Linked DNA regions of Lepisosteus oculatus. The protein of the gene in region 1 interacts with the protein of each later gene in a pairwise test. Links are inferred from orthologs where the notes say so. Each region holds a gene or a part of one and is shown in the gene's direction. Other genes may lie near its edges. The genes, in order: lnx1, kctd17, hsbp1b and eif4h.

Region 1 (7,130 bases):
ATATAGTTCACTTGTTTGTAATAAAGATACTCAGTTACTCTTTCCTTTGTGGGTGAAATTCCCAATGTGGCACAGGCCACAGTTTACAGCTTACTGGCGTAACTTCACTTCGTCCTCTGGGCTTGGTGGGTTAGTGCTGTGGCCCAGGCAGTCACGCCAGATCTTTCTCTCAGCCTTCACACAGTCGTGTGTTGTAATGTTTTCTCAGGCAGTGAAGGAAAGCGCGTTCCCAACAACAGGCTGGGGATGTAGTTCTTATATTATGCAGAGATAGTTCTTCTCATTACTTTATACATAATGTATAAATACATTAAACACAGACTTAGCAGTTTTTGACATTTTAATATCCATTATACAAACTGACCAACAATCAGGGTGAAATTAGTATTAAGGAAAACTCAGAATTCTATAAAAAATGTATGTGTCATTTTCTCTTTTTTAAGGCTACACAAACTAGGTGAAGGACTAAGACAAATATAAAACTAATCACTTTCTACTTTAGTAATGTTCCTTTGACCTGAGTCTGACCTGAAAAGTTGCCTTTTCCTCTGTGTCAGATCACGATGACAGTTCAAGCTCTAAATTCCAACAGCTGAATATAACATTGCAGCAGCTGAATATTGAGAAAGGCTAAACCAAATTAATAAAAAAGTGACAATTTCTATAATACAATGAAAACATTTTCATAGGAATAGCAACTGCTCTTGCACATAGTTTGAGTCTCACAAAAGCAACAATAAAAATTGAACAAACATTTCCTCATTCTGTTCAAGATTATGTTAAATAGTTCACTAACTCTCTTGGGTTTTTAGCGGTCCTCATGAACATGTAATGTGGTTAAATAAAAAGTGCTTCAAAACTGAAGAGGACCTACTTCATCCTTGAGAATACCTTGAAGTACAGAACAAACCACATGGGTGAGAAACTGCTTTCCCAGATGAATTAAGGGGGGACTTTAGGGAGGCCAGAGTGGTATTCAGCCAGGACACCAAGATTAATATCCCTCTATTGGAAACAGCTTTAATATCCATGTAGTCAGGACATCAGTTTAATATCTCTTCTGAACAATCTCTTCTCATCTGGACCTCCTATACTACACTGGGTCATTGATTTGGAAATTGTATCCCAAAGGGAAGAGAGCTACCTACTGTTCCACCAAACACCACTTAAGGCAGCAGCCCAGCTTAGCAAGCCCAGCCTTTCTCAACTTCTGAGAACTGACAAGATCAGGCTGGAAGACGACATAACCCAATCTATAATTTATGTGCACTCAAACTATTATAATTTAAGGAAATTAATTTTAAAAAATCTTTATCGTGCAAACCAGTTTCAAGGATGCTTCCATAGCAACCTGACATTATATGTAAAGAGAAGGCAAGGCTATTCACAAAAGGAATGTGAGATGATTTTCAAATTTCACATGGAGTTCATAGTCCTACCTTGAGGACACTATTACACATTTTACATCTGTTTCCAATTACTGCTTGGTACAATACAGCTTCCACATTACGTGTCTCTGCACACAGAAACTGCAAGAGAAGAGCTGTATAGGACACAAACAGAATATATAATGGTAAATACTGTATATACAGTATGATCACAATACGTTTATTTTATTTTCTACTACTCACAACAAGGATTCCACTTTCTGATTCCCCACCATACAATTAGAGTAAACTACTGCATACTTCAAATTTAAAAAGGTTAAAAAAGTATATGATGTTTATTTTTGTCATTATTTATTACATAATGCACTGGTATCTGAAGGTGAGGATGTTATCGTATATATCACTTTCAGCATAATTGAAGAAAGCATTTCTATTACCGGCGTGCTGTGTGTGATCTTATCCAACAGATTCAATTTATTACTGGTGTACTGTGTGTGATCTTATCCTACAGATTCAACTACAAATTGTATTTCTTGATGGCTGTCCTGAAAAACCCTCTTTGACACGAGCCGTGAATACAAATCGTGGAAGAAACTAGACCCCTGTTTTAGTGAAGGAGTAATTTTTCCCCACATACAATATTTCAAGACAAAAAGGCCAACAAACCCCAACAATTACACAGTGGGAAAAGGTGTTTTCCCTTTTGTTCTTCCTATCTAATAATGTAAATCGGAAAGAGATCACAAACTATCACCTGAAGGTGTAAAAACTAATTTAATGCATCTTTATACAAACCATGAATCGTAATTCAACTTTATTTCCAATCCCAAATATGCCAAAGCAATTTGTTTTTGTTTTTCTGTTATGTTAAAACAGCTTTTATTTAAAAGAGACATTGCTGAAATATATCACAGAAGCATAAGAACTTAATTGCATTTTATTTGTATCTTTATTCTATCCATGTATTCTGACCTCAGAATACATGAATACAGTACAGAGACTACTGTATGTGCGATTGTTGATTCTTCATGAAGGACCCCTTGCAAAGATTTACTGTCAGTGGTTGATAGATAGAAGCGTTAAACATGGGTAAGGCAACAGCAGCAATAATGCCTTAAATCCATATATCACCTTCTACATGAAAGTGTCTCTAAATGCACAGACAGATGAAATATTCAGGACACTCGTCAACACAGTTGTGAAGCCCTTGAAAGCTCATTGAAACCCCCTTAGATCATTGTGGTGCGATCGCAAACACTTTTTATACTTCATACATGGGTCCTCAGGACCACAACGAGCAGGGAGGAGTGCAGCTGCAGTTTGTATCTTTCTCAGTGTTGTAGCTTTTGTATTTCGTGAATGAGATCCATTATAAAGGAAAGGGTTGGTGGACACCAACTCCACCTCTGTTGCAGCAGCATTCTCCAGCAGAATTCTAGCGTCTGGCCCATCTCGCTCACTTGGTAGTTAGTAGATAAGCCATCCATGCATCTCATCCAGATGTTTCCAGAAAGAAGTCAGGTATCAACTTTAACAGTACAGCTGGGCAGATTGTTCCAGACTTTCACAACAACATCATTAGCACGTGAATTAGCACAAGTTGTAACTTGCTACTTTCCAAACTGAAACGCTGAATGAATTCAGTGGCCTGGTTATGAAGGGGGGCAGTAGACAAAACCCTTCCTGCCTTCCAGAAAAGAAAAAACACCCGATAAAATTAACAAAGTAAAAAAGGTTTAAAAAATTGCAGTTCTCCAGCAGTCTATCATTTTTGGATGTAACTGCAACTCAACAGATTTTCCCCTTTTCCAGCAAAACTGAATCAAGGGGTTCAAGCAGTCAGGTTTCCCTAGAATCTAACAGCACAGTCGTAGCATGTACATATTGTACCGTATCATGTTTGCATACGATATTAATGCAATTCTACTACTCCAGTTTGGCCAACACCCTAGAAAGTGTACATACTCTGTTTAATGGTTACTGCCTGGATTCTGCCCTGCTTCGGGAAACCTTGTTTTACCCCAAAGTGTAGTGAATCCAGGTTTGATAAGAGAAACTGTAACTTTGAGGAAGTGAGATATTTTGTCTTTTAGCTGAACACAAGAAATTCAGTTCCAGCCTGAATTTTGTCCAAAGAATAATAAATGCAATTAGAGATAAAAAAGAACAGCTCAGAGAAGAAATTCCCAGGGCAACTTATTTAGCATGCCCTCACATGCCACTCGTTGAGCTGCTCAGAAGGCTCTCCAGGACCTGGCTCATTATCTTGCAAGTTCGCAGAATCCTTGATAGTGTGAATTATTAGCCCACTACCTGCCAATAAGACAATTAACGTCACTCTTCAATGACTAATGGCTGGGGAAGTCCCCTTTCAAAGCAGAATCCGAGTAGGTCCCACAGCTGAATTCCAAACAGGGCAACTAAGCCTGAAATCTGCCATTAAAACGGATACAAAAACACACAAACAGGCCTTAACAAGGCCATTTTAGTCATTGCACCAAGTCCAGAATTCATTTTCTGACTGCCTGGGGTCATGCGGGCCTACAGGAGCTTGTCATGATCGTGGCTACAAATATGTAGTTCTCGTGTTGTGCGAGATTCTGATTCGGTTACACTGGGGTCAAGTCTGTGGGAATGACAGCGGTCGTGCTGTAACCCTCTGACGTTCTGCTACACTTGTTTCAGTTTCAAGGACTAATCTGCATGACTGCTTCTCCTTGTGTGTGCAGTTGCGACCAGGAGAAAATGTGTGCCCATGCTCCTTTTAGCTAAAAAATGAGTTTAAAGGATTAGCAGAGAGGCAAATCTGTTGCGGTTGAATTTGTCTGGGTACAACTTTTAAAGGTAAGTGCATTGCAATTTGTTGCAGATTAAAGTAGAGCTATGCAGTTGTGTAACTGTACATGCACTGACTGCGACACAGCTCACCTGCTGTTAGCGTCTTCTGGGCCGAGGAAATTAAATATGCTTTATACATAATGAAAACTTAAACTCAAGGACAGTGGGCATTTGTGGGAGTGTGTGCAGGTATAGGTGGATTAGATGCTTTATATAATATACAGAATTGTTTTTGCTTTCTACCTTTTCTAAATTATTTCCTTTCTGTCCAGGACAAATAAAGCCAAATAGTTTTTAGATTAATTTCTTACTTGTGTTTTAGATTTTATTCACTCACTGAAATTCTTAACTGTCTGGGCTGTATTTCATCTAGATTAACCTTCTTCCTGTCCTTTCTTCCATCTTGCATTTTATATCCTCCACAGCGCTTTTTGTATTGAAAAACCTTTGCTATTGAGTGGGACTTTAGTTGGAATTTAGTTGGAATTAAAAAGTGTTTTAAAATCCATATTGGTGTGACTGTCTCTCATCTAGGTGTCTGTAGTTGATATAAATATTTATTTAATGACTTTAGAAAGACTTTGATAGGCCAATGTTTAATAAGAAACAATTCCTCAGGAGGCTTTCTGAATGCTGCTTGTAGGTTGGTTGTAGTTCAGTAAAAATAATTTTAATAACAACTAAATAATAATTGAAAAAATCCCTGTTTATTGCCATTTAAAAAAGCCAAGTGTTAAGACAGCAAATGTAGCACCTGTCTTGGGTCTTTCACACCTGGACTCTTGTTTCACAAGCTCATTGAGCGCAGCCTTCTGGTGCAGAGAGGGAGCCTGGCAGGGCTCTGGGGGGCTGTGTGCCCGACAGCGCAGGTCAGCTCCAGGCTGCTGCAGACGTTAGAGAAACAGAGGTTGTCATAGTGACCTTAACCCCTGCAGGAATAGGTCGAGCTATCAGTGCAATGGCAAAGGCACTTGTATCATTACATAGGATTCTTAAGCCAATGCAACCCCATTACCCGATGATGAGACCTTGTCAAAATGCAAATAAACTGGTATCTTCCTTGTCTGCTATGAACAAGCCTCATGTGGCTTCCAAGTATACAGTATGTCCGTGGGATGTTGCACTGTTCACAGCAGCAGGACTTGAAACTTTCTGTCATGCACAACCTGTATCAGTCTACCAGGGTTACTTTTCAGTTACGTGACTGGGAAGTTTCTATCACTCAGAAACAGCCCTATGAATGACATGAAAGCAACCTATCATAACGACCGTGACAGAATTACTCCTTTAGGGGTGTGGGCTGATCCTTGTCTGAGCACTGTATTTTAAGGTGCAACTGAATTGAATATCCAATGCAGGGCATTCCTGAAGCTCCTCTGTTCTGTGTGGCTCGAGTTACTTTAAGCTCTTTCTTTTGTATTAGTAGGGAAATGTTTTATACAGGTTTCAGATGTTCTGCAACACTGGGCTCTTTGTTCATTCACTGCTTTTGTGTGTGGCCACTGGCTCATAGGTCACAGAGCTACTAGAATCCATTTACTAGAATTCCAGTTAAAGCATTTTCTGGGCCTTCTTTAAAAAATGTGGTGATTATTTGTTTTCAATTGTATGTAGTACCAATTAATTATATTACATCCTTTTATGCACGCAACTAACATTTGTGTTTCTATTTATTTTATCCCTTATTTTGGTCACTATCGAATTGTTTTTAGACAGCACAATATTTCTTAAAGCAAGCTTTCGATTAGTTCTCCTTTTTCTCTCGAGTTAAAAGCTCTGCCACAGGCACAGCTTGAATGACAGAAAAAGTCATTTGTAGGTTTCTTTCAATTATACTGCCTGTATTGGGAGTCAGTGTTCAGCCAGAGCAATAGGTTCTAGGTTCTAGTCCGTGCTGAGCACACTTTAAAAGTCAAATTACAACTTTGTAGATTGTTTCCTTCTTTGTGTTGGTTTTTCTCAGATAAAGAAGATGGATAATGAAAATGTAAAATGTCAAGTGTTGACCTGTCATCATATTTTTGAGACAGAGGACTTATCTACAGGATCGTCACACACTCTGATTACTAATGGTGTTTCGAAAGCTCGAGTGCAGTGCAGTGGGTCTCTGCTGTTGTCAAGCCACAGCTGCCTCTGGCCTCGTCTCCGTGCTGGGCTGACACCCTGCCAGGCTGCAAGTGGAAACTGAATCCCAGCACCCCTGGCCAGCTACAGAAACACGTAATTGTGCTTTTCAAAATATGATGCTTTTAATTAAGGGATTATAACAAAACAATAGCTCAGTGTTTTCTTTGTCATATGCAAGCTCTTGATGTGCTCTAGACTTTCTGTCAGCCCTCCATAACTGGTCATCGCGGTCTGCTGACACTCGTTCACTCCTAACCATCTCTCTGTCCAAAACAAGAGTGTTGTAATACTCTCTACACAATTAAACCTCAGGTGGCTTTTGAGGGCCAGTAGATCACTTCCTGTACCTTTTCCTCTTCTTGTTCAGTAACCTGGCTTGTCTCTGCCTGTTTGCTCAATGTCTGGTGTCACTGCCAGGCTGGAAACAAACCCTTCATCCACAGGCTGTCTTCCCAAGAGCCCCGCGGAGCGCAGACACAATTGGAGTGATCTTGCTCTTTCACAAAGGCACCTTTGTTTTTCACTGTAACTCCACTTCTCACTGCGTGGTCTGAGGGTGCAGCCCCACACCTGCGCTCCGCCAGCTGCAGGCACTGCGCCGCGTTCATAGGCCCTCCCCTGGCCTTCCTCTTCGTCTTTCTGTGACACGCATCTCCACGGCGTCTTCCGCTTGCTGTAACACTCCTGCCCAGGGCTGTCTCACTGGTCATGTCTAGGAAACTAAGGGTTGAAACAGTTCAGGTGGGCAGCTGCGTCAGCAGGCGCAGGCTGTAAAGG
Region 2 (7,377 bases), on another chromosome or scaffold:
ATGCCAGCCTTCTGAATCGGACGACGCAGAGTCGAGCCATAAAACCGGACTGGGGGTCTCTGGGACTACGACTGTCCGCTCCTGCTGTTTTCTCGATAACTCCTTTCCAAACCACAGTGGAATTTGCTGGAGCTGCACCTGGGCGCGGGTGAGCGTCTGCGTCAGGCCCTGCAGCGCTGCACCTGGCCCGCTGGGGGTTATCTGCCTGCCTTTCTCCATCGCTTCTCTTTCTCTCATTCTTACTTGCTCTCTGTCTCGTTCTCTTTCTCCCAGTCCGGATCTTTTTCTCTCTTTCTCCGCCCCCGTTCTCTCTTTCTCTTTCGTGCTCACTCTCTTTCTGACTCGCCCCTCTCTGTCTCTCTGCCCCGTGGGGTTTGGTGAGGTCTGTGTACATGGGGGAGGGGGGGGGTGAGTTTGGTCTGCAGCAGCCCAACCGTGACACCCCCCGCCCCCCACCCCGAAGGTTTCCGTTTCTCTGTTTTCAGAGTCTGTCTCTAGGGACCCTGACAACCCAAATCTCCTGCCCTGCTCACATCTGCTGCTGCGAGGGGCCCCTGGCAAGGTCAGGCCCGCCGCTCGAACCCACAGCTGCAGAGACTCTGCCTTCTCTTGAACCCGCAGGGCCTGGCGCCCGTGGTGCAGCCTCCTGGGGGCGCTGCTCCTCCCACTGCGCTGCGAATACCGTCCTGACCCCCCAGCAGGAAGCGCTGACCTCTGACCTCAGGAAGTGAAAGGGGGGGGTTGTACCCGCCAGTCACAGGACGGTCCCAGGAAACTGCGAATGCAGCCCCGAATCAGACCAGCGGTTTCTACCAGGTCGCTGATTCGCTGATCCTTGAGATTCATTCTTCGGGACCGGTCATACCTGAAGGGCTGAAATTGTGAATCTGCAGTTCGTGGTGTCGCCTCTTCGAAATGCTGGGCCCTGCCTCAGGCGACTTGAAGGAGTGATAAACACCCCTGTCGTGTGCTTGTTTTGAGCACTGTGGCCAAGCGCATCAGTGCTCAGAGGAGGAGGACTAATGAAGAGAAGAAGAAGCCTATGTATCTATAAAGCGTTCTTACATATAGGTGGGGCTGTACTGCGCCAGCTGCCCCCCCAGGGCAAGACACAGCTCCCAGTCTGCACCAGCTGCCCCCCCAGGGCAAGACACAGCTCCCAGTCTGCGCCAGCTGCCCCCCCAGGGCAAGACACAGCTCCCAGTCCGCGCCAGCTGCCCCCCCAGGGTAAGACACAGCTCCCAGTCTGCACCAGCTGCCCCCCCAGGGCAAGACACAGCTCCCAGTCCACGCCAGCTGCCCCCCCAGGGCAAGACACAGCGACCAGTCTGCACCAGCTGCCCCCCCAGGGCAAGACACAGCTCCCAGTCTGCACCAGCTGCCCCCCCAGGGCAAGACACAGCTCCCAGTCCACGCCAGCTGCCCCCCCAGGGCAAGACACAGCTCCCAGTCTGCACCAGCTGCCCCCCCAGGGCAAGACACAGCGACCAGTCTGCACCAGCTGCCCCCCCAGGGCAAGACACGGTGACCAGTCTGCACCAGCTGCCCCCCAGGGCAAGACACAGCGACCAGTCTGCACCAGCTGCCCCCCCAGGGCAAGACACAGCGACCAGTCTGCACCAGCTGCCCCCCCAGGGCAAGACACAGCGACCAGTCTGCACCAGCTGCCCCCCCAGGGCAAGACACGGTGACCAGTCCGCGCCAGCTGCCCCCCCAGGGCAAGACACGGCGACCAGTCCGCGCCAGCTGCCCCCCCAGGGCAAGACACAGCAACCAGTCTGCACCAGCTGCCCCCCCAGGGCAAGACACAGCTCCCAGTCTGCACCAGCTGCCCCCCCAGGGCAAGACACAGCTCCCAGCACCAGTGGCCACAGGCAAAAGCGCCACCTACTGGTTCCCTAACACCCATTACAGCAGCAACCTGGTTTTCCCTAGAGGACCCGCATGGCGGTACTGACCCGGCCCAGCCTGTGGCCCGCACTGTCTCCTGAGAGTGGGCCGCTCGTCGGTCCTGCGGCGTCACGCGCCCTCCCACCCGGCAGGTCGGGGGTCCCGCGTTGGCGCACGTGTAGTCACAGGCCAGTACGCCGCTGTGACCTGGCCGGTGGGCGGTGACGCTGACGTGCTTCCTGTTTCCCCTCCAGCCGACCCGGAAGCAGAACCCCCCAGCGAGCTGCAGCGGGTGGGAGCGGGGGGCGCCCCCCCGGGCGAGGAGGACGACCAGCCGCCCACTTCCTGTCCACACCTGAACGGCAACGGGGTGGCGGCCGGTGTGCAGGCGCCCCGGACGCTGGCAGACTCTTCTCCCGCGGGCGAGGAGGAGGAGGAGGAGGAGGAGGGGCGTCTGAAGGTGTACATCTGCAACGGCAGGAAAGAGCACGGCTTTCCGCTACCTGCCACTGAGCTCGGCGGCGCCGCCCTGGTGACCACCAAAACGGTGCAGTGCGCCGATTGAGGGGGGAGGGGGGTTAAAGGTCAGATCCCGCGGAAGGCCGCTGTCGCGTTGCATTCGCTCGACAGGCCGCGGAGACTGCGCTCATCGGCCCCCACGCCTCCCGCCGGACACCCCGCGCAGACGCAGGCCGCCGCGCGTCTTCCCCAGGGGGCGCCCTGCCCTGGGCCGGGCCTCTTCGTTCTGCCGGGGCTCGACTCAGGCGAGCAGGGCGCTGGGCTGCTGCTGTCTTGGCGCGGCCCCTCCCGGCCCCTCCCGGCCCCCGGACGCAGGGGCGAGCGGCTGTTTCCTGTGTCCCCTGCCTCTTGCGGCAGCGTTGCGATCAGAGCCCCGCTACACCGACTGTGTGACCTCTGTGAGGTCAGGAGGGCGCCCGCTGGCTCGGCTGCAGGGGGAGACCTCCAGGGGCGCCCCCGTTTGTTTTCCTCATCCGTCTGCGCCTCCTGTCCCTGCTCCCTTGCACGGTGACCCCGGGGGGGTGAGGGGTTGGGGGTTGGGATGATCACTTTCTCTCTTTCTCCCTGATTTTTGTTTTCCTTCCCGATTCCTGTCACTCCCTTCCCGACTCGGGGCTCGGGGAGGGGGTTACGTGCGAGGCGCCCCCCACCTCCCCCGACAGCTGCTCGGAGGATCAGGGTGTCGGAATTGAATTGATCAGGGAGAGGAATTGAAAAGAGCAGGGGTCTTACCCCGGCGTCCTGGCCAAATCTCCCCCTGGCCTTTACCCCTCATGGCCTCCTAATAACCCCCCTCTCTGAACTGGCTTCATCACTCTGCTCTCCTCCCCACTGAGAGCTGGTGTGTGGGGAGCGGACTGGAGCATCATCCAGGTGGGGTACACACTGGTGGGGGTGGAGGGGATCCCCGTGACCTGTAAAGCGCTTTATAAGTGTAAGCAATTATTATTATTATTATTATTATTATTATTGTGTGTGTTTGTGGGGGGAAACTCGTCTGCTCATCTGACGCGCCGCCTGCCGAGTGAAGTCGGATTGCGCGGTTGCGCGGAGTGTCCGCTAGGCGGCGGTGTTGAGTGGGAAGCGGAGAGGACGGTGCGCCGGGGTGCAGACAGCGGCCCCAGAACCGTGATACCCCGCCACCGGGGGGGGTCGCTTCTAGGCTCGGGGCTGCACCGTGAGGCCAGGAACTGCAGCGGCTGCCTGTCGTGACATCCTGCGTCCGCGCTCTCTTGAAAAAAAATCCCATTTTGTCAAACCGACCAGCCGAGAACTGGGGGTGTCTGTGGTCATGCGTGCGCCTGACTGACCTCATGAACGAAGGTCGTAGTTATAGGGGCTTCGTTTAAGCTGCTTTTTTATCTGCAAATAAAAACCTCAGACTTGAACTGCAGCTGTCCAGAGTTTTATTGCTCTCCGCGCTGGGGCAGGAATATAAGAGCTCTGTGCCACTGGGGGTGAGGGTTACCGTGCTGTCAACACTGGGGGTTACCGTGCCTTAATCAGCCATAGGCCGTGAGAAAAGCAAACAATATATCATATGAAATTGAAGTATAAAATGAAAGTTATCGCAGTTTAGTTGTGTTAGAAGGTGATCCAGTATGTTTATGAACTCAGTTGAATTCAGAGTTTTGGGAAATATGTTGGGGATACAGGTGTCAATCGTAAAAAAAAACGAACAATTAAGCATGTAATTGGAAATCCAGAAATTCAGAGATCACCAGGGGCAGCAACGGTGAACCGTCTTCATGGACAAGAGCTGTATAAATTAAGGTACTCGCTGGATTTGAATTATGAATGACGAGATGCTCCCCTTTAGAAATCGGCGATTTGGGGTGACTGCTCAAGCCTGCACTCGACTGCACGCAGGAAACCCCGATTTACACGACGGCGTTCCCAGTGGGGAGCCTACAGACCCCACAATGCACCGCGCACGGGCTGTTTAAAGACTACACTTCCCGTCTGCGCATGCACGGCACGGGGAGGAGGCGTGGGGCGAGGAGAAGGAGGGAAAAAGAGAGAGAGAGAGGGAACCAGGGGAGAAAGATAGATAGAAAGGAAGGAAGGAAGAAAGAGGGAGCCGTGAGATTTTTGTCTCGGGAAACCCGTCAAAATGGCAACGGAGGAGAAGCGGAGCGGGGGGTGCCGGCAGCAGCAGCAGCGCGCGGCGGAGGCTGGGCCCCCCTGTGCGTGTCATAGCAACAGCAACAACAACAACAGCAACAGCACCGGTACCGGCACCGGCACCGCCACCGCTGCGGGCGACCCCGGTTCCAAAGCGGACGGCGAGGTCTGCGACACCGCGGCGGCGACCCCGACCTCGGTCTGCCCGGAGCCCGGGAGCGCCGGCCCGGACTGCGCCTCCCACGATACCGGGACCGCCGGGACCGGCACCAGCGGCCCCAACGGCAGGGGCAAGTGGGTCCGGCTGAACGTGGGCGGCACCGTGTTCCTCACCACCCGCCAGACCCTGCTGAAGGAGCAGACCTCCTTCCTGTACCGGCTGTGTCAGCATCAGGACCTGCACTCCGACACGGTGAGGTGGGGCGGATCGGGGTGTTGGGGGGGGGTATCTGACCTTGTCCCGACCCGTCCCGACCCGGGCTGTGTCCCCATCTTCACCTCGTAGCGCAACGTGACACACGACAAAGACAATCACATGCGGTCTCGGGGCGTGGGCGTTGGCGTGGGGGTGGGCTCCGGGTTCCCTCCGGCCTGCTGCCCCGTGACACACACACACACACTTGAGTTTCTTGTGTCTGGGGCTCAGCTGCTCGGTGCTCGTGATTAAGATCTGGGTGTGCGTCTGCTCCCTACATGTAAGAACCGTTTGGTTGTGAACTCCGAGGATCTCCTCCTGCTTCCTGAAGGGAAACCAGGGTGTCCGCCATGGCGACAATTCGGAATGGGGTCCAGCTCTCGTTCCACACCCCCGCCACCCTCTGTGTAAAGACCTGCCTCCTGTTCTCTGTTTCAAACGGTATTCCACACGGTTTCAGTTCCCACCTGGCCAGCAGCGGGTGTTACTCTGCTGGCTCTGAAGGAGTCCGCTGGATTCACCTGGTGGGTGACTGGGAGGGTTCTGGATAGTGGTTTCGGGTCCACCCCGTCTTCTCCGCTCAGCTCTAAAGAGTCCGCTGGTCTCTTGGGTCGCCTCTCTTTAGAAACCAGATCCCCTCGAATTTCATTTGTGGCTTCTCTAGTTTGCTGCTCACAGATTCCTAGTGCAAGAAATTGTATCTGGCCAATGAAGTGAACTCCTCTTAAATCTGCAGGTTTCCCCTCCAGTGTTGACTCGTTCACTTAACTGGACTGGAATCCAGGTCGTTGATATAAACTGGGAAGAGCTGAGGGCCCCTGCTCCCCCTAACTCCATCATCCCCATCCCATCGAGGCTCCTGGAGATGGACGTTCATCGAGACCGTTGTTGCTCGTTCAGGGACCCCCAACAAGACCCCGCTCTGGAGATGGGCGCCCTCCCTGTGGGTGGGCTCTGCCTGAGCGGTTCTCCAGTCCCGGGTGCGGGCCCTGTCTCGGGGTGCGATCTCAGCGGCGTCTGAGCGACGCCTCTCGTTTCCTGGAGTCCAGCTGGCGGGCTCCCGCCGGGCCTTAGTGACCTTAGGGCTTCTCCCTCTTGTGTTTGACACAGACCTGAGTGCTTCCGCTGCCCGGGGCTGTGCTGCTGCCTCCTTCCTCGGCGAACACCTGAGCTGAAACCCTTGTTCTGCACCTCGGCCCGCTCCCTGGCGTGATTAGAAAGGTCCCGTTTGTGTCTCGGAAGGATGTTTGTTTATTTTTTTTTAGCCTCCTTTCGGTCTATCTCCTGGGCTTCCCCGATACGCCTTTAGCCTGAGCGCACGATAAACTGCGCTCCTCTCCTCTAACTGGATCCTGCTTTATTGCTGGATTATTTTACGAAGCTCTTTCTCTTCCCCTCTTTTCCTTTCCGAGTTAGGTGCGCTCAGCTGTTTGGGAACCTGTTTTCGTCCCGCTTGGGATAAATGTCTTGTGCTTCAGACCAGACCTGTTTAAACTGTGGCCTTCGATTTCAGCCCCTGCCTTATCCTCTCTTAAGCTTCGCCTCTTGCTTTCGAACTCTGCTTTCCTGAAATTCGAAGCTTTTGGTCCCACCTGAGTCCGTGCGGTCTCTCTCTCTCGTGCCTGCTCTCTGGCTGCGTGCAGAAGGCCTGTTGCCGTGCGTGTGTGTGCATGTGAGCGCGTGTGTGGAGGGGATCTGCGGCGCAGTCCTGTCCTGCAGGCACAACAGCCGAGAGACCAGAACAAACAGGCCCTTTTCCCAGCAGCTGATCTTATCGCTGGGGTTGCTGTTCAGGAAGCGCCGTGCAGGCCCTCCAGACGGGGCCGTTCCACTCCATGGCTAGGAGCCCGCTCCCGGCTGCGGGGGACAGCTTTTCCAACCGAGAACAGGCGGCAGTTCTGTACGCGAAGGGCGGTGGGAGTGGGGAACAGGCTTTCTTTCCGGAAACGGCTGGATCGAAGGTCTGGTTCAACCAGTGGGGAGGGTGCAGGGGTCGGTCACACACGGGCACAGACACAGCCGTATTCCCGGGAGTCGGTCACCCTGCCCGCACCAGCGCGTCTGTGGACAGCGGGAGAGCAGGCTCTGGAGGGAACCTGCCGAGCGGAAACAGGACCGGCCTGTACCGGTTTCTCCTCGCGGGGTGCTGGACTGGCATCTTGACCCTGCGTGCTGCAGCAGGGTGTGAGTAAAGCTGGGGAACCTCTCGCAGACGCCCCCCTTACCTGAGCGTCAGTGGGGTGTCTGATCAGCTGTCCTGGGCTTGTCTGGCATCCCCCAAAACCCACCCTCCTCCTCTTCCTCTGTCACCCTACACGCAGGTCCCCAAAACCCTTTTTCCTCTTCCTCTTCCTTGTTTTCCTGTCTAATAAGAGCAAGGAGCAGGCAGGAGAAGCACCTGTATTTGTCTGTCGATTAGTCTGACACTA
Region 3 (7,470 bases), on another chromosome or scaffold:
GTTCCACAAAACCTAATCTCCTGCGAGAATTCCTGAGAGGACGTGTTCTCAAATTTAATGAGACACATCTGCTCTAGGCCTTAATCCTGCTTTAAATGTCATTTACAAAAGCTATGCTCCGTATTAGACAGGCCTCAACAGGAATTACTTTAATGAAAACAGTGGTGGTATTTACAGTAGAAAGAAAAAGTGACTCTTTTGAAAACCACTTCATACACAGAGCATGTCGAATTTTACTAGAAAAGCTTTATTTTTAGGTGTTACTTTAGGTTGGTCTGTCAATGTATTACCTCAAACTGATAAATAGCCACATCTTATCTGTAGCCCTCATCTGCTACTCTATTTAAATATACACAAATAAATTCTAAAACAGTTTTTTGCATTATATTATTAGCATGATATGCAAAACACTATATTTTTGAAGGGGATGCATTTGAAATATATGCATTGTATTTAGCAAGCGAATGTTTTGATCATTTCAAAAAGAAAGATGGCTTACTTAAGAATTGTGAAACACGAGGCATTGAAACTGAAATACCGTACCAAATGGGTTACACCTCAAGTTCAAAAAGCTTAGTTTAAACGAAGAGGCCAGAAAACTGCTAAAATACCCTCTATTCATCATAATTTGTCAGATTAGTTGATTAAGTCTTCTTATAAAGGTGATTTCTTTCTATAGTGACATACTTGTTAGAATGCTCCATATCTCCATTCTGACAGTGAATTGTTTAAAAACCAAAGTATTGATTTCGTACAAAACTGGCCGTGATTTGAACATGGCATTTGATAGTTTTACTTTTCAGCAAAGCGTGAGTTTGACTGCATGATGAAAAAGGAAAATCATTAATTTAAGGAAATAATAATTTTTAAAAGCCTTGTATAACTGAACTGTGCTATCCTCCTCCACTCTGGTAAATAAAAAGCTTATTCAACAGCAGGTGCGTATTTCCAGGTGTCCACAGTTGCTGATTACCAATAATTCTTTGGAATGCTCGGTGCTGTGCAGCTTTGCTCATTTCATTCAACTTTTTTACACAACACCCTGCGTACTACAGCGCCCACATAAATCACGCATTGCTCGTTGCAAAGGTGGGTGGTCACCGCCAGCATCAGTGGGCTTGTCCCACAGGGTGAACGAAACCGGATACACTTTCTCTAAATGGGTTCTTAGTAATGGATCTGCAGCTAAGATTAGAATCTCCCATGAACTCATACAGATACTGGGGATGACCTGCTTGGGACGCCGAGTTGCTTGCGAAACATTGCCTTAGTTGGCAACCATTAAAAATGTACAGTCATTCGACTCAAACGCACGAAAAGTACGTATCAACACTAACACAAAAACAAACTTGCAGTATACCGTTCACCGTTTAAGCGCACGCGTTTTACTTTTTATCTTTATGTGTTCTGTCTCTTTTAATGTAACTTCCTCTGCTTACGACCTGTAATTTTCCAGGTACCACCGGCTTTATTTTAAGTTTATCTAATCCTTTGCAGTTCTCCGTAGATTCTATGCCCGCAATACACTGTAGCTGGGCTGTAAAGTTTAAATTCAGTTTCAGGCTAACTGCTGTACGGAGCGCTTTGAGGAACTTCAAAGCTAGTGCCTGTAAACCCACAACATTTGAAAAAAAAAAGCACTTTTGTTTCAATTCGACAGTATTGTAATTTTAATAACGAAAATAATGTTATTTCAGATCGTGTAGTACTGTTTGCAGTGCTACTTTTTGCAGTGAAACGCGGGGATTTAGAAGAAACACTGCTTACCTTAGTGAGGCGAAGACTCGTTTGACAGCTGCCACAGCGATGCCAAGACACTTCCTGCGATATAAAGGAACATTAATATTACTTCAAGACTGTTATCATTCGTGTGTCATTTGCAACTCTCACTTAAATTTAGTTCTTTGAAAGTTTCTTAGTGGAGTTTGACTTTTATTAGGGCGTTAAAAAACAATAAATCAAATAACATTATAACTGCTAGAGACGAACCTAACATTGATTCGCCGATAGTTTAAAAATGCAATTGTTAAAGGGGGAGTTGTAAATTTTGAATATCCACGTTTAAAGAAAACAGTCAACGCTGTCGCTTCTCCTTAAAGTGATTTGTTATTTGTTCCTATTTAAATAGAAAATCATATTTACCTGTGCGGTGTTACAACCTAATAAAACATATCAGCCCATCAGTTGAGAACTCAAACCTGCGAGATACATGTTACAAGTGTAAAAACATTAAACTCAACGAAAATATCTACATGCAAATATCCGCAGATCTCGATGAAGAAGTGAATTTCCTGTGGGATTGGCGTGCTCACGTGGTTATCCTGAGAAAGACCTAAAACTCGTTTGCTTTACTCACAAGGTAAGAATTTGAGAACTGCATCATTGCATGCTGAATGTCTCGGTTTCATTTTCAGGAAAAGTAAGAGATACAATGGTACCACCCTTCCTGAAAAAAAAAATGTAACATTACACAAAAAGCCTGTTTGCAAAGATAATGGGAGAACTGTGACGTGTTTTTTTTTTTGCTACACTTATAGCAAAAACCTTTACCAAACTGCTTTGAGCAACGCAATGAAACACTATTAAGTTGTTTACCTTGAGCTGTTGTAATCGTCTTTTTCTTCAAGATTCTGGTCAATGTGAATTACAGATGTTCCTGACTGATAAGTTTTTTTTTCTCACTCAAACTAAGCTTATCAATAACGGTAGAGGTTGTTGCAATAGCAAAAATCACAAGTGAAGTGAGGTACATTCTATAAACATTGTGGTCCCTGACTGAGTCAAAGATATCCTTGGGTTTTTGCACAAGTGTTTATTAAATCTTAAGACGACCAGCCTCTGGAACTACTTTATGCTTCACAATGAACAGGTAAAGGTTAATTCCACAATGAGATGTGGAAACAAGAAACATTTTTTTGTTTGTGAGTGAACTTGAACTAGAACTTTATTGCCATATGTAACCGGTACATTTACTGGTACAATGGAATTCTTAGTTACAGAAAGTCTCTTGATTATTAAAACAAGTGTAAAAACACAGTGCAGACAGTGCATCAAGACGATATACAAACAGTAGACAATGTACAAGTAAACAAGTAAACAGTTTGAATGTAAACAATACAGACGTGTAAACAATGACTGGAGATGTGCAATAATTAAGAAATTATAATGAGGTAGATGGTGTAGGTGTGGTCCGAGGGACATGGCCAAATGTGTTCGCCAATCGCTCTGCTTGTGGGTAGAAGTTATTGAAGAATCTAGTGGTAAGTGTCCGTATGCTCTTTATCTCTTGCCTGAGGGCAGTGGGGTGAAGAGCTCATGCCCGGGGTGGTGACTGTCCTCTGTGACGGCCAGAATTCTAAAATCGTTTTATTGTTTCTTCTTTCTGCTTTTCAGTCTGAAATGAACCTTTACATGTTCCATTGCAGATAATGCACGCTGACACAGCTTCCCAGTCAAGAATCGTATTTTAAATCTATATAGTACACGCTTGATTTCTTCATTTCCACTTTTGATTTTCAAGTGTTTGTCTCATTGTTGAGCTTGAAGTCTCCCATCAAACTGACTCTGACAATCTGACTTTTTACATACTTCACAAACTACTGTACATGTAGCACCCTCCTTGAAGAGATATCATTTATACAGCCAGCATATTAATTGTAACATTCTTCGTTATTCTTTTTTTAAATAAGATTACAAATAAGATCGTTAAAGAGCTCAAAGTAACAGTAATTTTCAGTCATCCTTACTTAGTTAAAATAAATTTCTACGTTTTGATTTGGTTCGAAATTAAAAATATTAAATTCCTTTAACTCGTACAACTTTGAGGCTGTTAATGATTCTGTTTTTTCTTCTTTCCTGATACACAGTTTTAGATTTATAACGTTAACCAACTTGGTCATAAAAGTGCATTCTTTTTTCCTGTTTCTACACTTTAATGTGTCCAGTATGTTCAGACGTTCTCTTCATCTTTTTATGAATTACCGACATGATCTATATGAGGACATTAGTAAGGAAAACATTTTTTTTTGTATTTTATATTGCATGTTTGCATGCACCCTTTGGTCAGATGGATTACAACAGAAAAATAAATACAGAACAAGTTAATGCGCCCCTACGATACAAACGAAATATTTTTATTGAAAATGAAACTTGTGTGACATTTGTTTTCTAGATCTTAGACGAAACGCTAATTAATTAAACAAAATGTTATTCACCTCCGGGTTTTAAATAATGGACATCAAGAAGTCTTGAAAGAGATGGATAGATTGTGGGAGAAAAGATATGGAGGTATGTGAAGTGAGTGAGGAAGATGTGCTCGACAGAGACAAGTGGAGAAGAGCAACCAAAGCATCTGACCCCAGGACAGTCTGGGACTAAGGCTGTGAAAAAGAAGAAGAAGAAGAAGAAGAACTACAGATCCCATGAGCACTCTCAGTGAAATCGCGCACACTTGCTCTCGCGAGATCTCGCCCAAAGCCTCACGGTTTGTGTCTGGTTCACTCTGGTGCTAGTGGTGATCGCTCATATTCTGGAGGATTTTCAACACAGAAACAATATATCCAGGCGTGGAAGGTGTAAAACACCTTATCAGTGAACATGTCGGAAACGGATCCGAAGTCGGTACAGGACCTTACAGCTGTGGTAAGTGCGAAAAGGAAGCAGCTGTTTCTCCGAAGGGACGCGGGGCCTTGTTGATTGCTGCTGTGTATGTACTGTAAATCCCACTTTCATCGTTTGTGCAATTTTGAATTGGCAAGGGGAGCTCTAAAACCGTATCGTTCACTAGGCGTCAAACACCTGGCATGTGGCATCTTCAAAACGAGATTAGGCGTGTTTAGATTAGGATTGAAACCGCGATAAGCAGTGTGTATTTGATCAGTTTAATTGAGGACGTATGAGATGCTCGAGGTCAGTTATTTTCACCCCTGATGCCTGCCCTCCTGTCTTGCGAAATGGAGTAGGCAAGAAAATGGCTAAATGAACATCTGATTAAAATGTGACTTCTAACAGTCCCTCGCGTGTGATTATATTAAACGGAAGTGCATTCGGGTTGCATTTTACTGCTGATACTGTAGTGCAGATCCGGCCCGGACGCCGCTATGTTTAAAACTGAAGTTTGGGCACTGTGTATAAATGAGTAAAACCCAGATTGCCGTTAACCGGAGGACGCCATCTGTGTTGTGTCGTAACCATAGTTTCTGCACCAGTTCATCCCCACCAGCAATTAGCGCCTGTTTTAATCGCTGCCGGCCCGGTGCGCCAGTACTGTTTACGAAGTCGCTTGAAGCTCGCAGTTCACCTAAACAGGCACATTCGTGCTGTGATGAAAGTTCCCACATTTTAACATTTCATCAAGGAAAACGCACGAAGAGGAGACGGCAGTGATGCCCAGTCCTGGTCCTGGAGAAATATTATCTTCTGGGTTCCATGCCAGCTGAGCTCTACATCTCCCGTGCTGATCGATGACTTCACAAATTGGCTTGCTTGTTCAGGCTTCTGTTTAACTTCTTTGGTTATTCCAGAGTGTTAATAAAACCCAACGTCAGGAGTACAGTTTCCACAACTTTAGCCCACAGAACTAGACAAGACTCTTGCTAGTGATCAGTTGGTGATGAACACAGACACGCCATCTTTTCTTTCTGCAGAGGTCAGTTGGTTACAGCTGTGTAGAATACACCAGAATAAGGGCAGTTCTGAAACTTGGGAATCAGTACAGGGTTGACGCTAGTTACACCAAATCTCAGTTACTTAGTCTGCAATTAGGATCTCAACTGAAGCGAAAGTCCAGAAGATAATTTTCCCCTCAGGACTAGGGTTAGGAACTCCTGGGATACAGCGTTCCAATGGCAGTTTTTGCTTGAGGTTCTATTATTAGTGTGCTCTTTTCACTATGAAGAACAGCCTCATTACGTTATCTCCTTCTTTTTTCTTCAGGTCCAGACATTGCTTCAGCAGATGCAGGACAAGTTCCAGACCATGTCAGACCAGATCATTGGAAGAAATATCCTGAATTCATTTTTGTGCCTTTTTTACTTATAGGAAGAACATGATTCTCTTACCAAAATAAAGCAAATTAATTAGGTTAGAACAAGGCTTAGTTTGGGGGGACAAGCAGGGCACTCTCAGGACACTGGTAGCCTGGCCACACTGAGTATGTTTTTAACTACAGAGGGAGGTTCTCAGCTTCATTATTTTTCAGTCTTTAGGACTGAAATTAAGGGGCACTTCTTTATAGTTGTCAAAGTACTGAACATATTGCCCAGTGATATTCATGAGGTTTGCTCCCTAGTATCTTTAGATATTAATATAATCCTTGGATCGGTATTCTACTTTAAAGCAGAATTTGACAATCTGACCTCATTTGTAACCTTCATCATGTTTCATCATGTTTATATTTTAATTTTAAAATTATTCATTCTAAAGTGAGTCATTTTATTCAAATGTAGTATCTGATATCTTGCCATATACAGGTCTCAGAAGAGGGATGCTTTATCCTGTTGCTCATACCTTGGGTCCCTACAAGTCTAACCTAGAATGGACAGTTTTGGATAAAGACTTATATTCCCATAAGTAATCAACTGCTTTAGTTTAAGTTAACATGGGGGAAAATCTGGTTGCTGTTACAGTCATCAGTAGCAGGCTTTCCATAAAAAGGAAATGGTAGATCTTTATCACGGTACAGATCTTCTTATCCTTTGCTTTAGGTCAGCATACATTATCATTCAGTTTCATATGAAGATCATCAATGACATTTTCAGGTTAATGATGAAAATGTGGCAAAAAGTAGAAAAACATAACCTCTTCTCGTCTTATAGTTGGATCATTTAGTGATCCAAGCCCACTGATGTAATATCTGAGGAACACGATCATTTAAAGAGGTGTGTCTGTGATGATTAATAATGAGGCAGATTTTGCTTTAATAAAGCCGCACCTCATTTTTACTTTGCGCCAATGTGCTTACCTGCTGACAGTAGGAAACTGGGCAGTGCCCAGTGCTCTGTGCTGGGAGTGGCTGCCAGCTCTGGTGAACTCTTTGAAAAACGAAGCCTTTCCTTGACCTGAGCACTTGACGAAATGAGCACTCGCATTGATGACCTGGAGAGGAACATCGCAGACCTGATGACCCAGGCGGGTGTGGAGGAGATCGAAGGGGAGAATAAGGTCAGCCAGGACGCGGACTCGCAGTCAGCCAAAAAGGTAACGACTTTTAATGGAGAGTAGGCATCGACAAAACCCACCTTCCTCAAGGAAATCAGAAACAGCACAGCCATTTACTAGATGCCTTGCAGGGGGACTGGGGATGAAACCAGTTCTGCTGTCGTTTACAATAGGAGCTCAACTGTATTTAAAATAGAGGACGGGGTACAAAGATCACATAAGGTTAGAATTAAAGCCATCTTTCCTATTTGCTTTGGTTTTTGTCTTTTTCAGCTTTGTTTCACTTTTCAGCTTAAGTAAACATTTCAAAGA
Region 4 (7,133 bases), on another chromosome or scaffold:
GAATAGTTTGCTGGGTCAGCTTCAAAGGAACAGGTAAAGGTTTAGTCCATGCTGAGAGGAAAAGAAAAGAACATTTCGGCTGCAGAACCTTCTTCAGATTTGAGGGCGTAAATGAAACGAAACGTAGGCATCAGTAGAGGTGATCTGCAATACAAAAAAACATGAAAAATTCCAGAGAATGTTAAAAAGTTACAAGTAACCTAGACGAAATTACTACGCAGGTTTGTTTTAATGTTTTTATTTTTTAAACACAAAAGGGAAATACAACAAACAGGGGTATATACATACAAATGTCACAACGTGATAGAACAAAGGTACCATCAGATGAAGGAAAGAACAAAAGAGAAAAATTAGTACGCAGGTGTTTGCTTTGCTGAGCGCTGCTGTACTCGTTACTGAGGACTTTTACTTTGATTGAAATTCGGCTGTTTACAAACATTTCCGGTTCATTCGCGCTGCTTAATGGTGCACGTTTCACGACCTTGATGACGCTATATGTACTCTACTACATACTTTTTTGTTATTGTTACAATAAAAAAAAAGTTTTAACAAATATCTTCACGCCGCTTTGCCTGCCGTCACTGAGCAGGAATTGTGAGGTGTTCCGGGTCACGCAGCTGGGCGGGGGGTGGAGTTACGGATTCAGGAAATTGAAGGAGAAGTTGCTGTATTAGTACTGTAGGGAGTTTTGATCTTCGAATAACAGATATTTAAATTTACAGAGTTGTGTCTTCAATGTCTTGCTTTAAAAATGAATATTGTCTCCCTGGCATAAATTAAAGTAAATCTAAACCTAAAATGAATATTACACTTCCTAATGTTTTGCAAAATGGGCAGTGGATATTCCGAGGGATGTGTTCACTGAGTAGCCTGTAGTTTTTGTAAAAAAAAAATTTTTTTTTGTAACTTTATGTGATATTTTAGAATTTATGCGGAATAATCAAAACTTCATACCATTTACATTATTTGATGGTACTAGTAAAGTTGGCCCATGCCTCTCAAGAAATCAGTGAAAGTTATTAGAACATCAAGGAAATGCAACCTGTGCAATATTTCCATTAGAAAACCTATATGTTTTTTTCTCTTACCATTTTCTGTATACTTCCTTACCAGTTTTTCAAAATATTTTGAAAACATCTTTGCTTTCAAATTAAAAAAATCAAATTGTAATATGCTTTATTGAGAGTTGGAAACTCCTGTGTTATAACACACTTAGACGAAATGGCAGCACACAAAGACCAGACCTGAATGAGCAATTGGTGGTGAACACAAACTAGTAAGAATTCATGGCTGATGGCTGGAATACTAGCACCACCCAAAAAAGAATAGTTTGTTTCATACTCCCACTACCTTTTGTGTAAGGAAATGCCTCCTCATCACAGTTTTAAATGCACTTCCATATAGTTTCCACTTGTGCTCTCTTTTTGTTTCACTGCCTCTGGGATGGCCTTGTCTGTGCCTTTGATGACTTTGAATATTTGGATGAGGTCCCCTCTGTTCAAGACAAAAAGGTTCAGTTCTCAAGTTGAAGTTCCCTCATGTCACTCAATGTAGGATGTTGAGTAAGGTAAATTCACAGAATATATCTAAGTGCTGTTCTGTAGTAATTCCAGAGCTGTTATATCTTTTTAATATAATAAATTAAGGACAACATGATAGCGTAGGGTTTAGCAATATTGCCTCACTCTGCTGGGGCTCTGGGTTCAATTCCAGACCTGGAGTGCTGTCTGTGTGGAGTTTGTATGTTCTCCCCATATTTGCATGGGTTTTATCCAGGTGCTTTTGGTTTCTTTCCATAGTCTGAAGATCTGCTGGTAGGTTAATTAGCTTCAGGGAAAATTGACCATGGTGCAAGTGCATGTACGTGTGTGTGTGTGTGTGTGTGTGTGTGTGTGTGTGTGTGTGTGTGTCTGCACCGCCATGGACTTGTGTCCCATCCAGGGTTATCCTGCCTTGCGCCTTTGCTTCCTGGGATAGTCTCCGTCTCCAATGCAACCCTTAATTGGAAGAAGTGATCAGAAAATGGGTAGATGTTAAAAATCGAGTGCACATTATTGGTACTTTTTTACAGTTAAATACCGAAACAAATTAACAAATTGTGCACCATTTTCTGACACACCAGACCCTCTGTTAGGGTTCTTGAATTTATCTTTTATTTTTTGTTAAATCAGAGTGATTAAACATAAGGAGATATGGATATAAGGCATTTGAAATCTATTAATAAAAGGCCCTGACTCAGCAATTTTAGAACTTATTTGAAAAGCAAGTCTAAAAAAATGACATTTTAAAATAACTCACTGCATAATTTGCATGGCATTAACAGTTTTATTATAAAACTATTTGGATTATTTGAAGTGTCTGACTGTAATCATGATATTTAAAAGCTAACTATAACATTGTGTTGAAATTATTATCATAAATATCTGTCATTTTGTGTTTCATGGCTGAATTTCTTTAATGCCCTTGAGTTACACCTTAACAATATTTCATGTCACCATTATTATATTACTACCTTGTTTAACCAGACTGGATGGGGACTCGGATAAAACTTCACTGTACTTGCAAGGGTGGATTTTTAATCATTTGCCTTTGGCTGTCCCCTTGTGCCTGCGATTTGAAACCAGGAGCAGGTGTCCCCTTGGCTGGAGAGACCATCTGCTGAGCCAACACTCTGGACAGGAGGCCTCTGCACGAGAAGTGTCTGCAGAGGAATCTGCCAGGCCGTGGGCAGAGAGGTGCAAAATGGAGTCCAAAGCTAAACCCATATACAGTTAAACAATAACCGGGTTGCCACTAGCAATACAATTAATTACCTGGCTCTATTATATCTGGAAATATTTTAAAAATTAAAGCCAAACATAGCAGCAATCTAAAGATGCATTTTTTCCAGATACAGGCAATGCCTCCACTACATAACCAATCTTTAAACCAGTACTTAAAATACACCTGAAGAAGGCTCCACAGCTGAAATGTTGTGTTTTCTTTCTTCTCTTTTCAGCATGGAATAAACCTATTACTTGTTCCTTAAAATGTTCTACTTAGCTTTGCTGAGGTTGTCCCCTGTGTAGTAGTGTGTCTTGGCTAGTCAGAGTGAAGTTTGTTCATGCCTAATGTGTAGACTCCACACCTCTGACAAGGCACACCACTCGATACGACCTACTCTGTAGATAGACTTGAGCTGTAGACTACCCCTGGGTTTTAAGTATACTGGGTGGACAGGACCTCAGACCTGTTATGTGTTTGTCAGGTTTACTTGAAGAATTCACGCTTCATTTTGTACTGTACAGTTCTGCAATTTCCCTCACGGGATCAATAAAGTATCTATCCATCTATCTATCTTAAAATGAAACTATCATAAATAGAAGGTAATAGCAGGCCCTTTACCATCAAGACTTTCAGTTTCTTTTCCAGTAAGCAAGCAGGAAATCTCCTGAATTTTTAAAAAAGCTTCCTATCCAACTGCTCTTCATTCCTTTTTACTTACACATATTTAATTCATTTCAATTAAGGATTTGCATCAGTGTAGGCTGGCTGCAAAGCTGAATGTCTTCTTTCCAATGGTACCAAACTACTTGTTCCTTCACAGGATTAATTTGTCCACCAATTTTGGATGCATTTGTCCTGGAACCGACTGTTACTGATAAGAAAAAAATCACATTATTATTAGAAATACCTTCTATTAATGAGAAATGTAAACAGTTTTCTAGTCTTGGTTTTGGCTGTGAAATGTTTGTTTTTCAGGTTAAAACCTTTAATTGTTAGAACAATGAGAACAGATAAATAAGAATCCGTTATTATAATGATAATAATATTATTTGTGACAGGAAGCTTATTTTAAGAAACCGGACACGTTAAACCTTGAGTCCAGAAAGATGACCGACAATAGACAAAATCTCATTGGGAATACCATTTCGAGTTTTCTTAGTGCATTGAATGTTTTTTTCCCTGATATACATTTGGCACGTGTGCCGTTAGAACAAATCAATAACCAAATAAACATTTGAATCGCTGCTTTTAAAATATTGGGATGTGTTGTATTTCTTGTTTTTTAATGTTCAGGACTGAGTTGTGGACTCCTACCCCAGTCGCGGTGTCGCTTTTTGGCCAGGCGCGGCCAGGACAGCCCTGCCCTGCTCTATATTGCGGGTCCTCACGCTCCTGCCTGCTTTCTCCTGCACAGACTGCAATGGCGGATTACGATAACTACGATGACCGGGATCGGGCTTACGGCAGCTTCGGAGGTGGAAGGGGGTAAGAAAACAGCCATGGGAACAGGATGTTTATTTAGTGCCAGCGCCAGCACCAGGAAAGTGGTGCTGTGTGGGGGCGAGATGCCCCGATGGGTTTCGGGGTCCAACTTGAGTAGGCCTGTCAGGGGGAGACGGGGGACGGTGTGGGAGACGTGCTGGGATGAATGGGGAGCCGGTGTGGTGGATTAGGAAATCGCTGGGATTTGTGATGCATCCGAGACCCCCAACTGTAAATTATGGAAGCGCGATAATGTGCTCCTGACTTTTAACTTCGGAGTAGTAGCGATTTTACAGCTGGATCGGCGGCGTGCAGCTGTGCGGCTGGTGAGCCGGGCTGTAGCGTGGTGCCAGCGGGGCAGTTGGCGCCAGGGAGCCCGGGAGAGCAGCGCCACATGTGGGTGCCGGGGCTGGGGGGCGCGGTGCACCCCGGAGTGAAGGAGACTCGCCCTTGCGCGCAGCCCGCTGCTCTCTCCGGAGCTATACAAACTCGGCTAGATGTCCCGTTTCTCCACCCAAAAATCAGTATCCGTTACATTCTGTGCTGTCCATGTTGCTAGACGGATACGTTTTAACAAATATGAAATGATTCTTCTGCAATATGAGGTGTCTGAACACTAAATATCCCCCCCCTTTTTCGTCCGATGCTAAATAAATCAGATTTTTTTTTACTTTAAATCTAGAAAACTGCCCTTTCACAAAGGGGGTTCCTGTTCCGTGGGCGGCCCTGTTTCCACAATACCTAAACAAATATTACCATGCGATTATTCATTTTGTTATATAAACCAGTAGTGTCCCTCAGGAAATACTAACATAAAGTAGCTGGTAAAAGTAATTTCGCAGAAACGAGGCTGGTTAGCAATAGAGTGGTTTGTGGAAGTCCTGAGTTTCCATTAGTAGAACGAGGTTGTAACTGAGATGGAATTTAAATTAACTCGTTGTCATTCGTATTGTGTGTGAAAAGTGTTTTTATACTCTTCTTGCAAGCATATTGCAGTACACTTTTGTAAATTTACATTTTTTAACCAGATCTTAGAATTCTTAGTTATGATCAGAAATATTAAGTGAAATTGCATTAGGAGTTTTGGTGGTAACTTCATAGGAATATCTTTTGTGAAAGAAATTGCTTAAGTACTCATAAATAATTATTTATAATTGTTCATTGACACAATGTTTCTTGCTTTTTACAAGCTGTTTGGTGGGGTTTGCTAAATGTACTAAAATGTGGTGGGTAGCTTCATTTGTAGATGAGCAGTCTTTCACCTGAAATCTGACTTTCTTTGGACGAGGGGTTTTATTAGCTGCTGATGACTCAGGGGCGCAGGAATGATGCCAGAGACCAGGAGGCTTGCACTCGTCATTGCCATTCGGATGGTTCGGGCCTGAGCTTGGCACATTTACTAACCACCTCTTCACTTTCAGTTAGACTTGCAAGTGGAGGGTGGGAATCGGATCACAATGGTTTCACACTGGGAATCTCCGATTCAGCCCAGGATTTAAATCAGGTAGAGTGGGATGGAGCAGGAGAGAGGCAAGGTGAGATTTGAAATCTCTGGTCACAGTTCTTTCTGATCTTGGCACACTGTCTGATCTTCAGCCATCCGTCTGCACTACACTGCGTCAATGTCACATGGCTTGGCCAGCACAATGGTGTGTAGGCTGCCATGCTTTCCCATTATTGGCACTTTTACTGCAGTTTTCTTTTCAAGACTTAAGATCCCTTCGGTTTTATTCAGCCCATCTTTACCTGAGACTTCTTTATTTTCTGGGAAGGTTTGTGCAGGAAGCTGCGTCAGTAAGCAAGTTGCAAAGGAACAAGTAGAAGTTAATCCTGAAAAGTTTATTTTACTTCTGCACATGTTTAGCAAGGCTATTGAAAATCTCTATTTTAAATTTCACTGGGAATAACAACAGTCAGGAATTAGACATATTAAAAGATTTGATTGTTTAAGGTTACAGTAATTTGTCTTAACCCACTGTGTGGAGGGCTGGCCACAGGACGAGGAGGCCGGGACCCCCTGCGGAGTGAGGAGTGACCAAGGGGCAGAGGTGGAGATGAGGGATACAGGAGACGGATGCAAGGGAGAGAAGGAGTATGAATACATACAGTATTTATAATGCTTAAGGGAAGAAATGATGTCATGATTGATTACAAATTACCGTAAGATGAGGCTCGGTGAACTTGGCTGTTTTCATCCTTTCCAAATGTTCTTTTAAACCCAGTTCAAAGTCAGTATATCGCATTGAGATGGTTTCTTTGTAGGGCTAACAGGGGCTGTACCAGAGACCAGTGAAGAGACTTAATTGTGGAAGAATTGATAAATAAGGGGTCTGGAGCTCACAATAGGCTTTTGATACCCCTCACAGACTGACTAGCTCCATGCAGGGCAGCTGCAAACACTAGTTAGCTTGTTTGAGTGTTGTGTAGACTATGTGGTGTGCAGTGGTTCTGAAGTACTGTTAGGGTGGTTTCCTCAGTGCATCTCTGCTGTGCAAGATGTGTCCCCTTGAGAAAAGCACAAAGGAGACAGTGGGTAGTGTGTTTTAAATCTCTAGCTCTGGAAGATGAGCTGTCTTTTCTTGCTGTGATCATGCTGTGCAGATTTAAGTACACCTTCCTTTGAGCTGCATGAGTTGAATAATGTAGTTGTTAAAGATTTCTACTTCTGTTTGAAGGTGTTACTATTGTATATTTGAGTGGCTGGCTGGTAAGGTATGATAGAACACATGGGATTGGAACTGATCTTTTTTTGATAAATATCACAGTTGAATATGTAGATCATTGACAAAATAGTGGAAGCATGTAAGTAAATAAGATATAATATTATGGCATTATATTAAGATTATAATAATATAATGCCAATTATACTGAAAGCATTGGCTTCC

Evidence for each region.
Region 2: the proteins of lnx1 (region 1) and kctd17 interact in a two-hybrid assay, tested with the Homo sapiens proteins (2 studies listed by BioGRID and IntAct). The link is inferred for Lepisosteus oculatus from reciprocal best matches to the Homo sapiens genes LNX1 and KCTD17.
Region 3: the proteins of lnx1 (region 1) and hsbp1b interact in binary tests that used the Homo sapiens proteins (3 or more experiments, as listed by UniProt). The link is inferred for Lepisosteus oculatus from reciprocal best matches to the Homo sapiens genes LNX1 and HSBP1.
Region 4: the proteins of lnx1 (region 1) and eif4h interact in binary tests that used the Homo sapiens proteins (3 or more experiments, as listed by UniProt). The two-hybrid records come from large-scale screens. The link is inferred for Lepisosteus oculatus from reciprocal best matches to the Homo sapiens genes LNX1 and EIF4H.

The regions. Positions count from the first base shown.
Region 1 is NC_090696.1:78,409,248-78,416,377, reverse strand, and holds the start of lnx1 (E3 ubiquitin-protein ligase LNX), read left to right. Parts: upstream 1-4,117; 5' UTR 4,118-4,232; intron 4,233-7,130.
Region 2 is NC_090707.1:38,238,774-38,246,150, reverse strand, and holds the start of kctd17 (BTB/POZ domain-containing protein KCTD5), read left to right. Parts: upstream 1-4,371; 5' UTR 4,372-4,522; coding exon 4,523-4,945; intron 4,946-7,377. Other genes in the region: uncharacterized protein, read left to right, coding at 2,145-2,455. UniProt on the Homo sapiens protein: Substrate-adapter for CUL3-RING ubiquitin ligase complexes which mediates the ubiquitination and subsequent proteasomal degradation of TCHP, a protein involved in ciliogenesis down-regulation.
Region 3 is NC_090715.1:14,340,632-14,348,101, forward strand, and holds the start of hsbp1b (heat shock factor-binding protein 1b), read left to right. Parts: upstream 1-4,446; 5' UTR 4,447-4,596; coding exon 4,597-4,641; intron 4,642-5,934; coding exon 5,935-6,001; intron 6,002-6,961; exon of another isoform or gene 6,962-7,066; coding exon 7,067-7,197; intron 7,198-7,470. UniProt on the Homo sapiens protein: Negative regulator of the heat shock response. Negatively affects HSF1 DNA-binding activity. May have a role in the suppression of the activation of the stress response during the aging process.
Region 4 is NC_090721.1:256,157-263,289, forward strand, and holds the start of eif4h (eukaryotic translation initiation factor 4H), read left to right. Parts: upstream 1-4,131; 5' UTR 4,132-4,186; coding exon 4,187-4,251; intron 4,252-7,133. UniProt on the Homo sapiens protein: Stimulates the RNA helicase activity of EIF4A in the translation initiation complex. Binds weakly mRNA.